Drosophila melanogaster: one gene and its partner. Changing the gene in region 1 together with any one later gene gives a genetic interaction. Each region holds a gene or a part of one and is shown on either strand. Other genes may lie near its edges.

The links.
Region 2: of Nek2 (region 1) and Ret, changing one enhances a phenotype caused by changing the other (phenotypic enhancement), as found in Drosophila melanogaster (one study listed by BioGRID).

The regions. Positions count from the first base shown.
Region 1 is NC_004354.4:7,886,408-7,894,324, forward strand, and holds Nek2 (Nek2), read right to left. Parts: upstream 5,240-7,917; 5' UTR 5,093-5,239; coding exon 2,885-5,092; 3' UTR 2,659-2,884; downstream 1-2,658. Other genes in the region: Acat1 (Acetyl-CoA acetyltransferase 1), read right to left, coding at 1,031-2,263; ND-MNLL (NADH dehydrogenase (ubiquinone) MNLL subunit), read right to left, coding at 6,723-6,893; CG45089 (uncharacterized protein), read right to left, coding at 6,915-7,079; p115, read left to right, coding at 7,720-7,917.
Region 2 is NT_033779.5:21,194,149-21,201,859, forward strand, and holds the start of Ret (Ret oncogene), read right to left. Parts: upstream 4,615-7,711; 5' UTR 4,505-4,614; intron 1,349-4,504; 5' UTR 982-1,348; coding exon 915-981; intron 1-914. Other genes in the region: CG31624 (uncharacterized protein), read right to left, coding at 5,253-5,789; CG31988 (uncharacterized protein), read right to left, coding at 7,568-7,711.

The DNA of each region.
Region 1 (7,917 bases):
TGCCAGGAAATCTGCAGGATCTAACCCATGGCGACTATGCGGCCGTAATGGGTCGGACCACGTTGCAAGATCTGAGGGAGGTGCCCAGTCTGCAGGATCTGCTGGGTCTCAAATCCGTGATAGTGACCTCTGAACGGGAGGAGGAGGTGCTTCGCACGTTAGATCGGTGTACGCTGCGAGAAGGAGCCGGCTCACATCCACTTTTCTTTGGCCTGATTTCCCAGGATGCACTTCTCCATCTCACCCAACGGGGCCATCGGGCTGGAGCGTATCACATCATACCGCAAGACGTTCTGGAGCAGCAGCTGGCCATTTATCTGCAGAAGCACTCGCATCTGGCCAGCCACTTGGACCACCTCGTCATGTCCATTCGATCCGTTGGCCTGGTGCACCACTGGGCGGGCCAAATGGCTAGCGAGCGGTACTTCCGCAGTCGGTTCCTGTACCGGGAGAAGCGCATCCGACAGCCGGATCTGTGGGCGGTCTACATCCTGACCGCAGGACTATATCTCCTGTCGCTGGTCGTCTTCATATGCGAACTTCTGGCCTCCAGACGAGCAGGGCTCTGAACAAAATATTTTACTTATTATTACTAAATAAATTATGAAAACAAGAGAGAATGCTAATGCTTTTACTTTACGAGTAACGGGTATAATATCCTTAAATGCCGAAATTATCATTTTTTTAGGTATATATTAAATGGTGAATTTATAGGCATATATATATATATATATAAATTCAACAATAAAGAACATTTTCAGCACTTAATTCATTTTTTTCACAGAACAAATATAAGATGTTTAGACTTTGAACCCTATTACCGTCATGGAAGAACACTGATTTGATATACATATAATAATTATTGACTGTTTCATAATTTTATTATGCAAATCACAATAGTTCGTTAAATGCGGCCACGCGCAATCAAGACACTTAACAATTTAAAAAAAAACATAGAGCTTTCCACAATAATCTCGATGGATCAGTAGTAAATGCATTTCTGGTTGAGAGCAGGTCCGCCAGGTGACCTTTACAGCTTCTCGATGAGAATGGAGGAGGCTCCACCGCCGCCATTGCAAATGGAGGCGCATCCCAGCTCGCCCTTCTTCAGGCTGTGCGAAAGATGGGCCACCAGACGGGCTCCGGACATGCCGATTGGATGGCCAATTGACACGGCACCTCCATGAACATTAACCTTGGCTGGATCCACATCCAGTTTCTTGATATTGGCCAAAACGACCAGGGAGAAGGCCTCATTGACCTCCCACATGGCCACGTCTTCCTTGCGAACGCCGGCACGCTTCAGTAATTTGGGAATGGCCAGAGCTGGGGCAATGGGGAAGTCAATGGGATCGGTCTCCGCATCCTGGAAGGCCACAATCCTGGCCAGCGGCTTAATGCCCGCCTTCTGGGCTGCCTCGGCACTCATCAAAACCACGGCGGCACCGCCATCATTCAAGGTGGATGCATTTCCGGCTGTCACAGTGCCATTTTCCCTTTGGAAAACGGTGGCCAACTGTCCAAACTTGTCAAAATTCACCCGCTTGTACTCCTCATCCTCTGAGATGACGATCTCCGGCTTCCTCTTCTGCTGAATCTTCACCGGGGCAATCTCGTCCTGGAACACCTTGTTGGCCCACGCGGCAGCCGATCTCTTGTATGATTCAATGGCAAAGTCATCCTGCTGCTGACGTGTGATCTCCAGTTTTTTGGCCGTATTTTCGGCACAGTTGCCCATGTGGAACTTGTTGTACACATCCCAGAGGCCATCGAAAACAATGCCGTCGGTGAGATTGACGCCGCCATAGGGCGTGGCTCCCCTCTTCAGATAGTAGGGAACATTCGACATGGACTCCATACCGCCGGCAACGACCACATCAGCATAGCCGAGCATCAGGGATTGGGCGCCCAGCATAACGGCCTTCATGCCCGACGAGCACACCTTGTTCACCGTGGTGCAGCATACATTGGTGGGCAGTCCGGCGAAGATGGCAGCCTGACGGGCGGGGGCCTGTCCCAGACCAGCAGATACCACATTGCCCATAATCACCTCCTGGACATCGGTCTTCGCAATTCCGGCCTTTTCGATGGCCGCCTCGATGGCACGGGCTCCCAATTGGGTAGCCGTCAGTGGGGCCAATTGACTTTGGAAGCTGCCAATTGGTGTGCGGGCTGCCGAAACCACCACAACTTCGGCGATTTTGGAGCTGTAGTTGCGATGGGCGCTCCAGCGACGCGTGGCCTGCAGCAGTCGGGCGGACATCTTGGAATTTAATTAATTTGTATTAACTAGCACAGCAATCACACAGGTAAATGGCAAGAATCCAATCAGAAATCACGCCAGACCTGTTGCTTGCGTAACAAACCGGTAATCGGTCTATCGATAGGCAACAGCTGGCGCGGTAAAAGTGTTGGCAACTGTTAAATAAGATTAAAGCGACTGGTAATTTTCTATTAGTTAGCATTCTTTAAATGTAATTTTTAATTTTTGCTGTTTTAAGTATATTGCTTGAAAACTACGCTGTAAAGATGCAATGCTAAGTTTATATATTCTTTTTACAATACCCAGCACTGAAAATGCGTAAATTGAACTTAACGGTTACAAGCGAACAACAATAAATAAAAACACGAAAATTGAAATTTTAAACACAAATGTATCTCATTTCATCAATATTTATTTTAAGACTAATGCAAATTGCACAATGAATGGCAGCTGAAAAAACTGGAATCTTAATGCTAATAATACGTGTTTAAAATATGGCATTCAAAAAAATTTTTGCATAAAAAAAATGTAAATATTTCGGAACTTATTCCACATCACAACGCTCATAGTCTCCATGGTTGCCATGGCTCCTGGACTGCACATCTTTCCTGATCAATTTGATCAGATCACCATCTGGTCGCGCGTTGTTAGCTTCTGATGGCCAGTGGCCACCACCAAAGACCTCCGCATGCGGTTCCGCTGCAGCGTGGAATTCCGTTCCCTCACCGATTGCCGCAGATGCTGGCGACGTGCTCCTCCGGGTCCAGAACCAACGACTCCACCTCCGCTTGCCTCCCTCTCGGCTGCATTCATGGCCGCCAGCAGCTCGAAGGCTTGTTTCTTCTGCTCCTTTGTCCAGAGATTGGCCACTGGTGGAACTTCTGCCGGCTGTTCCTGCGTGATCGGTGGCTTGACGGCCAAAGGAGGTCGCTGCACGCGAGTTGCAGCTGCTTGGGCTACCTGGTTGACCGATGGCAAGGATTTGGATGTCGCCTTGGATCCGCGACTCAACCCGAAAAGCGAGAGTATAGATTTCCTGCGGGTGGAGGAGGCCTGGCTGTCACCGGAATCATTGCTGGATACGCTCATTTGCATGGGAACGCCAGTGGGCGGAGGATTCACTGCCGGTTTAACCGCCGGTGGGGGCATATTCTCGATACCATAGGTAACAAACTTTTGGGGCGACTTGAAGGTAACCTTACGCAGAGTATTTAGCGATTTTGGTGCCGGAAGTGTGGCTAAATTGAGTTTAGCCACCGTGGGCGACGTCTCGTTGAGTTCGATAGTGCAGTAGGTGTCATCATGGTGCGATTTCGCTGGCTTCCTAGGAGGAATGGGCGGAGCTATCGGCTGTCTGCAACTACAAGTGTGTTTCTCCTGCTGAAGAAGTTTTTCCTGCATCTGCCGCTCCAGCGTTTGCACGCGCTGTTCGGCCAGCTGTAACTCCTGCTCCCGGGTCTGCAGCTCTTCGAGCTTCTGCTGCAACAGGGATTCTTGGGCACGAATGGCGTGGAGACGGGTCTTTAGTACTTCATCGAATATGTTTTGGGTAAGAGCACGAGGACTGCTAGGGGCCTCCTTTAGAAGCTCCTGATCCCTTTTCTGCTGCTCCTGATCCTTTTTACGGCGCCGCTCTTCCGCCAGTTCCACCTGCCTCTCCTCCGCTCGCTCCTCTCTCCTTATACTTTCATAAAGAGAGGGATCCGACAGCTGTAGTTTCTTGGCAGGAAAGATTTTGCGCTTGGCGGAGTAGAAGAGTTCACTTCGCAAATCTGGAGTAAACACACCAGTAACGCTGAGTCTCCTTTGCCCATAGCCTTCATTGAAGCTGTACTGTTCCGTAAACATGGTGCTCGATAGCTCTGGATGAACTCCATCTTCCTCTTCGTCCTCGAAAAGCCTGGCACCCGAAGGCAGTGTGTAGAAATCCTCTCCAGAATCAACTAGAATTGGGAACTTGCCATCCAACTCGCTAATATTACGCACCACCAGAGGATGCCGAATGATAACCTCGATGCCAGGACGCTGTTCATGATCCACTGCCAGCATGAAGGCGATGATCTCCTGCAGATCAGTACTATAGATTGCCGGAATCCGACTGAACTCACCCTGGGCGATCTTCTCGGACAACTGGTCAAAGGCTCTGCCGCGAAACGGCGGTCTTAGGGCACACATCTCGTATACCAAACAACCAACGGCCCAGACATCGCTCTTCCGATCGTATTTCCTGCCCTTCACCAACTCCGGACTCATGTAGTGCGGAGTGCCCACAAAGGAGGCGGCAAAGCTCTGATCTCGTCGCAGCATTCTGGCCAGACCGAAATCTCCCAGTTTGGCATTCCCGGCCGCATCCAGGAAAATATTTGCTGGCTTGATATCGCGATGCAAGATGGTTCCGTTGGGGATTTTGTTGTGGCACACCTGAAGCGCCCGGCAAAGTTGGAAGAGCACCCGCCAGATGTAGGGCTCCTCAAACCGCTGCCTCTGGGATCTCGCTCGCTGGACAATCTGGGCGAGATCGCCGCCGGCACAGCACTCCATAACAATGTACACCGACTTGGCCTCTCGGTTCACCAGATGATGGTAGTATTGCACAATGTTAGGATGCTGGAGCTGCCGCAGAACACTGATTTCCGAAACCAAAGCGTCGCACTTGGCCTCGTCCAGTTCATCGTAGTTCATTCCCTTCCAGGCGAACAATTCACCGGTGCTTTTGTCGCGCACCTTGTAGCAGGTGCCGAAGGATCCATTCCCCATCACGGCCAAAACCTCGTAATCCTGCAGGGTCTTTTGCGAAAAGTCCATGCCGGCAGATTCCTCTCCGCTCATTTTGCCTTAAGTCTTTTTTTTACTCTTTGGGTATTTTGGGTATTCCGCCGCCGATTACAAATGATCCGCTTGCTACAAAACCCAAACACGATTTGAGACTGGTTTTTGGGATGCAGGATTTCTGGAATTCTCATTGCTACCTGCAAGAACGGGAGAGAGAGCAACAACAAGTGCGCGAGAGAGAGGTTTAAGTAGTGCCGCTACCCCGCTAAATAGGGCGGAAGAATGAATATTCTAAAAACAAGCTAGATTTGTAATTTTTACAAAATACATTTTGCAAATATGCAATCTAATGATATAATTACATACATAAACAAATAGCTATTTCATCATTAAATTAAGAAATTGTAATATGGATTAAAATACAAAACTATTTAAAAACCAATATACAAGACAACTACCGATTAAAATTGATAGCAGTCATTTCAACCTGACCTTCATATAAATAACCTCTCCATAAAACCCTTTCGCACCTGCATGCTAATGCCCAATTTGGCTATTTTCCCGCCGAGAGACACCAGCACTGTTATGTTATTGTTGCACGTCTGGATCTCTCGTTTCCTTCCAGGAACAAAGATCGTGCTATTACCCTCTCGCTCCCAACCACAGTTCAACGGTATCCACTTGCAAATCTCTGGCATCTCACCCTCTCGCTCACGCTCTCCCCCGCTGTGAGAGAGAGAAAGCCCTTGAAAGGCGAAAATCTGGAAAATCCGTTCCATTTGATCCCACTGCGCCTGTGTACAAACTACTGACCATTGGAAACAATGGTCTAGAGAGGGGCAGCACGCCCAAGAACACAATTCCAGCGATTCATCACGCTCAATTTTGGAACTCGAGCCCAAAACCGATCTTAAACCGGAATCCAAAACCGAGTACAAACCCCTAGCCCTGAGCCATAAAAATAAATTAGTTTTGTTCCATTGGCATTTCAATTTGCTGCCTTGTTTGTTAAAGTGGAAATGTCCTTATCGGATTTCATATTTCATATTTGAAGTGAGCGATTATCCATTCTGTCTAACGGTTTTTACTGGAAGCAGTTACATAGTACATATAGGCATGGTCGTGCAAATGAAAGTTTTTAGGGGGCTCATGCTTATAAAAGTTTTTTTTTTCTATTAATTCTTAAAAATCTCGATTCACATGTATTAGATAATTCAATGCCATTTAACGAAACTCATTTAAAAAGACTACTCTCGGTTACCACATTTCAAGTGATTTATGTGACATGCTCAAGAAGTTCTACAATAAATAATAAGAGTTTTGGTAGAATACACCAATGCTCTTCTAAAATATCCAGCCTACGCCCCTGATCCGAACTAAGCAGAACTCGCATATCGTGCAGCGATGCCCAGGTAAAATCCTTCGAAAAACGAGTTATCTCCTTGGATTTTTCATTGGTTTTCGGCTTATCGTTAGACGTGTGTTGAGGTTTTTATGTTTTTCCTGAGTAAAACAAACAATGGTACGCAATCCTTCACAAATAAATCACGTTCCCGACCGCAAATCTCGTCCGCTGGCCATGCAGGTAAACTAGACGACAGGCGTATTTCACATTTCTCCGGTTTATTGAATAACAGTGAATTGGGGGAAAAAAAATAATATTTTGGGATGGCGATGTTGGGCAGGCCTACCAGGATGGCGCCTTACCCTCGCTGCCGGCGGGACGGCCGTATAGGGCACTCTTGTCCCGGAACATGGTCATACGTTCCGTTTCCTTCTTGTCCAGGAAGTGGCCAATGGCAAATCCCAGCAGGGGCAACGCGCCCCACAGTGCTCGCTTATCCAGTCCCAAGACCATGGTGTATATTTGTGTATCCTCTTAGCGCTGATCCTTCAGCTGGGCTCGGTGTGCCAACTGGAGCTGCTGGCGTTTCCACTGGCGGGTGTGCGACCAATCTGCGTAAATCGATCCGACTGCAACAGTGGGAAAGAATATCACTGCGCCGTACTTTCGAGCCAATTGAACCACAATCCCACTGCCCATAGGTCTGCAAGACAAGCACAGGAGATGGCGAGATTTACATATGATTTACACAAATTGATGTGGGGATTGTTATGTTATGGGTTGACATTTTGCCGCATTACGTAATAAAAACGAGTGATTTCTCCCAGCGTCGTGATAACTGTGTTGATATTTTTGAGAACTTCTTACGCCGCGTGTGTGGAACGCTTTATATTGTATTTTTTGGGATTCTCTCGTTTAGTTTTAAACACAAATTTGCTAAATTAGTTTTGTTTTCAACTTACTTATAGCATCGATAGCACCAGGGCTGTCGAGTCGTTTTTAGTTTAATAAAATTTTGGCAGTAAGACTATCGCCGACAGGGATGCCACTCAGCTTAAGTCCCGACGTCAGCTAGAAAGTAGCAATATTTTATGTAATTCAAAAAAAAGTTTTAGATTATCAAAAAAGTGTAAATATAGGTAATTACACAAACATGGTCAAATATGGTAAATTGTAATTCTAAAAATATATTTAATATATTTAAAGACAAGCCGCTTATCGATAAGTGGGCGTCTATCGGACTTTAGCCATCGCTAAGCCGCCCGTCAATTGTTTTCATGAATTGACGTGTCTTGTTGAATGCGAAAAAACCCAGAATAGACCGTAAACACACACTCGCATGGAGTTCCTGAAGAGTGGCATCAAAACGGTGCTGGGCAGCACGGAGCCGGGTCAGCAGCCGAGTGCCGCCGAGACGGTGGAGAAGCTGGTGGACCGTGTCTACTCCTCAACGCTCCTGGAGGATCGACGGGATGCCTGCCGAGCGCTAAAAGCCCTGTCCCGCAAGTACCGCATCGAGGTGGGCGCACAGGGCATG
Region 2 (7,711 bases), on another chromosome or scaffold:
GCATAGAAATCAAATCAAACCCAGTAAAAAGGTAAAAAATTGTAAAGAAAATATATGACATGATAATGTTATATGATATTTAGAAAACATTTGTAAAAATAGAAAGTAAGTAATATTTAAAGTTAATATTCAACAAAGGACGAACTGAGTTTACTATGCGGAAATTGAAATTTACATGTTTCCAATGTGTAAAGTTTTTTTTTCCCCCCAGTTTGAGGCATTGATGGAGCGGCCCCAGGGAGTTGGTCGGTAGACCAGTCCATCAGCGTCAGTCAGTTGGTTGCAAAGTCAAAAGCGAAAGGCCGGGCCCACATATCGCTTACCAACTTGTCAAGACGTCAGTTCACACCTGTGCCAGGCGAATAAAAATAAGAGCCTTGCTGGTCGCGTGGAACGCAATGGGCCTATAATTAGGAGCTAAGCAGTGCGTCTTTGAGCACAACAACCTAAAAAAGTCATAAAAGGAGATTGCACTTTATTACACCTCTAATGGAAACATCATATCTTCGGTTGCATTCCCACTGTGCATATATTGGTGTTAAGGTTATCTGGGAGATTCGTTCACTGGCACTCTATGGAAATGAGGGTAATTGCCTTTTGCGAGATTCCCATTTGCCACAGAAACAGGAGAAAAAGGGGTTAACGTGCTTTACTACATATAAGTTGATATACATTGACCGACGACTCCAATACCCAATTAATAAAACATTTAACTAGTTTCAAGTTAAAAAATCCATTTTGGCAAAGCCTTGTCACAGTAGTCAGTTATAAAAGGTGTTAATTGTTTCGACTATTCTTGTTTCCCAAGCTGCCTAAATTCAAATTGAAATGGATCGATAAATCACCCAATCGACCACATTGAGTAATAAAGCTTAACATTTTTGCCATCCTTAAATTGTTTGTAGCTCACTTACCCGCACAGTGTTTACGTTGGGTTATAATTGTGAGCAGAGTCACAAAAACAATAGTAGTTGACTCCATCGTGGTTACTTTTTCAAAAAGTCAGTTATCAGTCGGCAATTTTCGCTCACTCGTAGACGCACATTACATATTTACACATAGTGAACGTCGCTTTTAATGGGTTTTCTCTACAAATTGTCGCTATTTGTTTGATTTTTTATGTTCCGTGTTTTTTTTCTCTGTGATGGTATTCTTTTCCAATGCTGTATCCAATTAGCCACGTTCGATTCCGTCACAAGCTTAATTACTTTTGCCACAAATTGATAAGTAGCATTTATCAATTAATGTGCGAAAACCAGAGCAGAAAATATGAAAAAATAACAATGAGTTTTGCGGATATTTAGACCACGAACATTAATAGTTTTTCGTTTTTGGTGCAGAACGTAAGCTTTTGAAAACAAGTAACAGAGGTTTAGGTTTACCAAAATAACAATTTGGAAAATTAATTTTTTTTATTTCAAAATGAGTTTTCGTAAACATCAATGTACCCACTGAAAGGGTATGACTGCTAATTATTTTTATTGATAGCGGCGCCCACGCTCCCGTTTGTCATTTAAGCAATCTAATTTATCACTCAATTAATTCCGCACAAAATTCTCAAGAGCCGCGCGGTCTACGAATTCTGATTATTGCAATTCAAAATGAGCTTTGAATTTGTTTCGCATATTGATATTGTTATTAAATGGTCTTCGGTTGCTATTTTTGGCCAGCGCCAGGTGAGAGGCTTATTGGCGTTGCTTTCTGTTTTTTGTTTTATATTTTTCTAATTCTAAATTTTAAAAGTCGAGCGCCTCGGGTGCGTGCTATTTGTTGCTCTTATCATTATTAATTGTTCTTTTTGCCGATTCACTCCATGTCGAATGGCTTTCAGTTTGCTCAATCGGTTTTTAAGTGGAATAATTTAATTAAATTATTTGGGCAAACAATGTGGGTTTACTTCACAATTTGCTCTGGCTGCCTTAAGTCAAAAAGTTGAATGGTTTTTGAGACAGTTTCGGGCTTAAAATTACCAGAGTTTTGTATACAGTGGTAATGCTAATTTATTAAGATTTCTAAACTTCCTAACCAACTGCCGAAAACCCTGATGAATTTTGAATACGAAAAACAATAGAACTAGTTACGATAACTAATTCTATGCAAGTACCAAGCAACGCTCAACGAGGACGTGTCAAGGAAAAGGCAAAAAAAGTTTGTGGACGTGCGAGTACTCTACCTACTCCATACCCCACAGAGTACTCTAGGTACTCCACTCCACATCGCTCCAGTGCGGATGGATGGACGGCATATGTGTGGTATCCAGCGGTGCACGGCAGGTGTGATAAAAAGAACCCGAAAGAGACAATTGCGGCGTGAACTACCCGCTGGCCAGGGGAATGGCAATGGAAGATAGCACGCATAATTCAAACGAGCTCAAAGTCAAACAACGTGATAAGCAATTCACAAACACTGGCCGAAAAGTCGAATGGGAAAAACTGTGTAAACTGAAGCTGAAACTCATTGAATTTGGATCATTTCAATTTATTGGTAAATGGGATTTGCTTTAAGTAATTTCGGTATTTTGGTACTTAGTACAACACTCTTCTATCCGTTTTTCTTAATCATTGCAATCACATTTGCTTGAAATAAAGCACATTTTCTAAAGATAGTTTCCGATAGCATGGCCAAATGTGCGATTATCACAGTTTTATTCGCAGTGTATTCAAAGACCGAGAGACCGACTAACTGACTGACTGACTGACTGACTGGCAGTCCAAGTGTCTGCTGTCTACTTTTCGTCTGTGGGCCTCTTCAGCACCTGAGCACTTTAAAGTTCAAATCTTTTGACACACTGGGAGCTCAGTTGGCGGATGCTAATAACATACGACTTGACACAAAGAGGCTTTTGCAGCAGACACACACAGAAACTCAGAGACATTCACTGGAAGCCAACCGGTTGCCAACTGGAGGGGCTCTCAAAGGCTCGGGCCATGGCGTTTCCCCATTAAAGGTTAAGCGCGACCCAGCCGATCCGGGTGGACTTTTAAGGTGCGTCTATAGCCGTCCTGTTGCTCGAAACGCCAAAAATGGCAATTTCCATATAAAACTTATGCGAAGCCGGCAAACTTACAAACATCCGACGACCGCAAGAGTCAAAGTACGACTGTGGAGGTTCTTCAGTGCCAGTGACTGCCCCGACTGTTTTTTAACTGCACTGCGACAAAAAAAGATTCTAAGAATGCGTACTGGGAGCTTAATTTTAATCAAATGTTTGCCTTTTGCATTGCTTTATCATAATGAAGAACATTTTGCATTGCAAAGATTTAATGAATACAGAAATGTAAAAAAAAATTTTTTAATGTGTCGTGTTTAAAAATATTATGGCTTACACAATAAAAAAAAATGTTGCTTCATTTGGTTTCATCGAATTATTGCTACTTTTTCAATCTTTCCCCTAACTTTAAATGGTATTTTATATATGAGTATTGGTATAATGAGCTGTGAATAAAAACCAAATAGAATAATTCGATGATATTATTGACTTAGGCTTGGACCTTTTCCAGTGCCATCGGCTTGTAAGTTATTTTTTCGTTCACAGACATCTACGAATTGAAAAAGAATGCCAGAGTAGCGTCAATAAATTTGGCCTGGAAGCTTAGAGCCTGGCTTGGATTCCATTTCCACGAAAAAAGGTTCTGGAATGACAGCCGCTTTAAAGGTGTGCGTGATGTTCTTTTTGATCCAACACAGTCAGCAATAGCAAGTATTACAAACCCTAATTGATCCCATTGATTGAGTTTTTAGACCTGATCGCTTGTAGACACATTCGTAAAATGCAAATTCACATCGCGACTGACATTTGCATATGCTAACAATTAATTTTCTGTCACCTAGGTAATCAAAATAAAACATTTTCCAATTAATCCCACATTTTATAATTTGTAAGATTAACATTTTTATAAGCTCTGCCTCCACCTGAGCAAACGCAAGCACGAAAGACCTTAACAGGCATTTAAAATGTAGAAGTACAAGATTAGATATCTTTTGTATTAATTAAAATAATTATCAATTAGAATAAACGCTCAGACCACCCACACTTAGTGTTTTACTATCAAAGATGTGTCTTTGCATACATACATATATGTATATATATATATATTTATAGCTAATCTGTTATCCCGCCACTTCAGCTTTAATATATTAAAATATTTTCCTCAATAAACTGCAATTACTTGAAGTTGCAAATTGAGTAAACTAATTCCACTTCAACACGCACGGCTAAATCACAATTATCTGATGCCAATCTACACGATATACTGTATTGAGTTGTCAGTGCCACTAGACGTGAGGATATTGGCTGCATTTGGAAAATCCGAATCTGGAAAATCTGGCCATAGATCGCAAATAAATTTCAAAGTTCGCAACATACGTAAACCACGATCTTGATTTTGATAGACACGATTTATGGAGGCTTGCAGCTGCTGCAGCTTTTTACAGACTCCTTAATTGTTCGACTCAAACGGCAATTATTTATGGGACAGTTTCAACAGTGTAATTAATTAGCCACCTCTCTTTTCCCGTTTTCGGGCAGCTTTTCCGCGGAAATACTTTTTGGTTTGTGGAAAATCGCTTAAAGACCAACCGAACCGCTTTGCACGAGCTCCGTTTGAAAAATGAAACTGAAACCGGCAGCCGGCAACTCCAAAGCCGCAGAGCCCACAAAATCGTAACGAAAACTTGACTAACGAAGCCGCTTCGTGTATTTTACCCGAATGTATGAATTTTCCACGATGACGGCACGTCAGCACACCCTCGCAGAGTTTTCCATTTTCCGCTGCACTGCTGGGATACCCCTCCTCCAAACAACATAATTCCACCGACTAATGGCGTTTATGAGATAATCAGATGTGCATGTTCCAAGGCTGGGTAGCATATTTACCCTTGGAAACATGATCTCATATCAAGCACACTTTCCTCGACAGCTTCTTTTCACTGGGTTTGGGGAAAATATTTACTCAAAATTGGGAAAGGGCTTGCGTTCTAGTTTATCTCGCAGTAATCAGTATGTTGTTGTGGGTGTTGTTGGTCTTAGGCAAATCTTAACGATAAAAGGGTTTACCTGGCCACCCCAATACAGAGACTTTACATATTTATTTTTATTTAGTGTGTGCGTGTGCGAAATGTTAAGTGTGGTCAAATGTGTGGGTCTGATTTCTTTCATGCCTCTAGGCTTCATAAGCATCGGGAACTATTTCAACATTAGTGTAAGAAAGGAACTAAACAATTTGGAGTAAGATCATGGGTCCGGGACGATGTTAGCAATTGCAGGCGGGGCACACGGGCTTGTCCCCGTCGATGGTAAAAGTCTGCGAGGTTATAGGATTCTCGCATTTGTTGCACTGGAAGCAATTGCGATGCCACTTCACGTTCATGGCGAGCACCGCTGAGTCCGTTATAGGCTTCTCGCACTTGGCGCACCTGGCAGCAAAGAGGTTCTCGTAATCCTGTTTGCAATAGGGCTTGCCGTCGCGCTCATAGAACGTTTGACTGGCGAGCGGCTTCTTGCAGGCACCGCCGCAGCAAAAGCAAGCTTCGTGCCACCTCTCCCCCATGGCGCAGATGGTTTTTTCAAGGATCGGCTTCTTGCAGCCGGCACAGGTGTAGGTGTACCGCTCCACGAAGCACTTGTTGCACACTGGTTCTCCGCTCTGAACATTGAAGGTGGCATCCAGGATCTGCTCATCGCAGTGGTGGCACAGGAAGTGCTCCGGGTGCCACGTCTTGCCCAGGGCGGTGATCATACGCTTGGTGATGGCCTCCTGGCACTTGTGACACACAATGCTCTCAGTCATTTTGGCTTCTCGATTGGTAACTGCTAATAAAAAATGATTTTTAATGCGCATTACCAAGGGATTGTTCAATTACTCTTTTTTGATTGAATTGCTCGTATATATCGTAAATTGAGGTTAAAATACAAAATGTACAAAACAGGGCAGCTATCGATTATTTTATTGAAAGAAACAACGGAAGATGGCTATGGAACGATAAACACTGGGCAACGCAAATATTAATGAGACAAATTATAATTCTGTACTTATTTTAAGATTGGGTGTATTTCTTACTGGGTTTGTCGCCTGTTTCACTACTTCCTCTTTTCGCAGTGTGTTTTTCCTAGTTCGTAATTGTACTGTTCTCATATATCAAAACAGTTGTCACAGGGCCACCGTTGTTACTTTACTTTCTATTAGATGTTTCACACAAAATGGGAGCACAACAACAAGCAATAACGGGTATAATAAGGGTATACTAGATTCGTTAAAAAGTATGTAACAGGCAGAAGGAAGCGTTTCCGAACATACAAAGTATATATATTCTTGATCAGGATCAATTGCCGAGTCGATCTAGCCATGCCCGTCTGTTCGTATGAGATTCAGCATACAAATTCTAGAGACAACGATGCAGCGCAAGTTTGTTGGCCCATGCTGCCACGCCCACAAGCCGCAAAAAACGGCCACTCCCACACTTTTAAAAAAGTCTTGATATTTTTTTACATTTCATTTTTTATCAATTTGCAAAAAAACTTTTTGCCACGTCTACTCTAACGCCGTAAAACCGCCCATAACTGCTACGCTAACATTTTAGAAATTTTGAAAATTATTTCTTCATAATTCCATAACTTTTTGCCACGCCCTAAAACCGCACTAAATTGCTACGCCTACACTTTTGAAAACTGTTGATATTTTTATTAGTCTTGGAAATTCCTATCGATTTGCCAAAAAAAACTTTCTGCCACGCCCACTCAAACGCCCTAAAGCCAAAAACTGCCACGCACTTTTGAAAAATGTTTAGATTTTTCTTCGTTTTATTGTTTGTCTTGGCAATTTTTATATGTATACCAAAAGCACTGTGGACACGCCACTCCTTTCACCTTAAAAACTCCCAAAACAGTAACGCCCACATTTTTAAACAATTTTTACTCATTTTTTTCTATCGATATCCCAGAAAAATTATTAAATTTCGCTTTTGCATTCACACCAGCTGAGTAACCGTTATCTGATAGTCGGGGAACTCGTATGTAAAATTCTATCTTGTTCTTAATTTTTTTGTATTAATTCCATATTTATCTAGATTACACATCTGCGTAACCGATTCGTGACTACGCCAAGAGACGGCCACCACTTCATATCGAGAAGAATCGATAAGGCAGTTGTACTGCGATCTTAACGGAAAGATTTTTTAAAGCTCTTCAATTTTTGTTTTTAAAATTAAATAATTCATTATTTAAAGTGCTGCCAAAAGCTTGTTATTTAACGAAAGGCTGCAACATATTGGAAAGGGCTTGCTCGACCTTATCTCACAGTAATCAGAATGTTATTTTGGGTGACCAACACCACTAAGGCAAATCTTAGGGTATACCTGTCTACCCCAATACAGAGACTTAACATATTTGTTTTTTATTTTTATTTAGTGTTTGTGTGTGTATTAAGTTTGTGTGTTAAATGTGTAAGTCTGTTTTCTTGCATGCCTCTAGGCTTACTAAGCTTCGGGAACTATTTCAACATTATTGTAAGCAAGCAAATGAACAATTTGGAGGAAGAGCAAGGATGCACCATGGTTATCCGGGACGATGTTAGCAATTGCAGGCGGGGCACACGGGCTTGTCCCCGTCGATGGTGAAAGTCTGCGAGGTTATAGGATTCTCGCACTTGTTGCACCGGAAGCAATCGCGATGCCACTTCACGTTCATGGCGAGCACCGCTGAGTCCGTTATAGG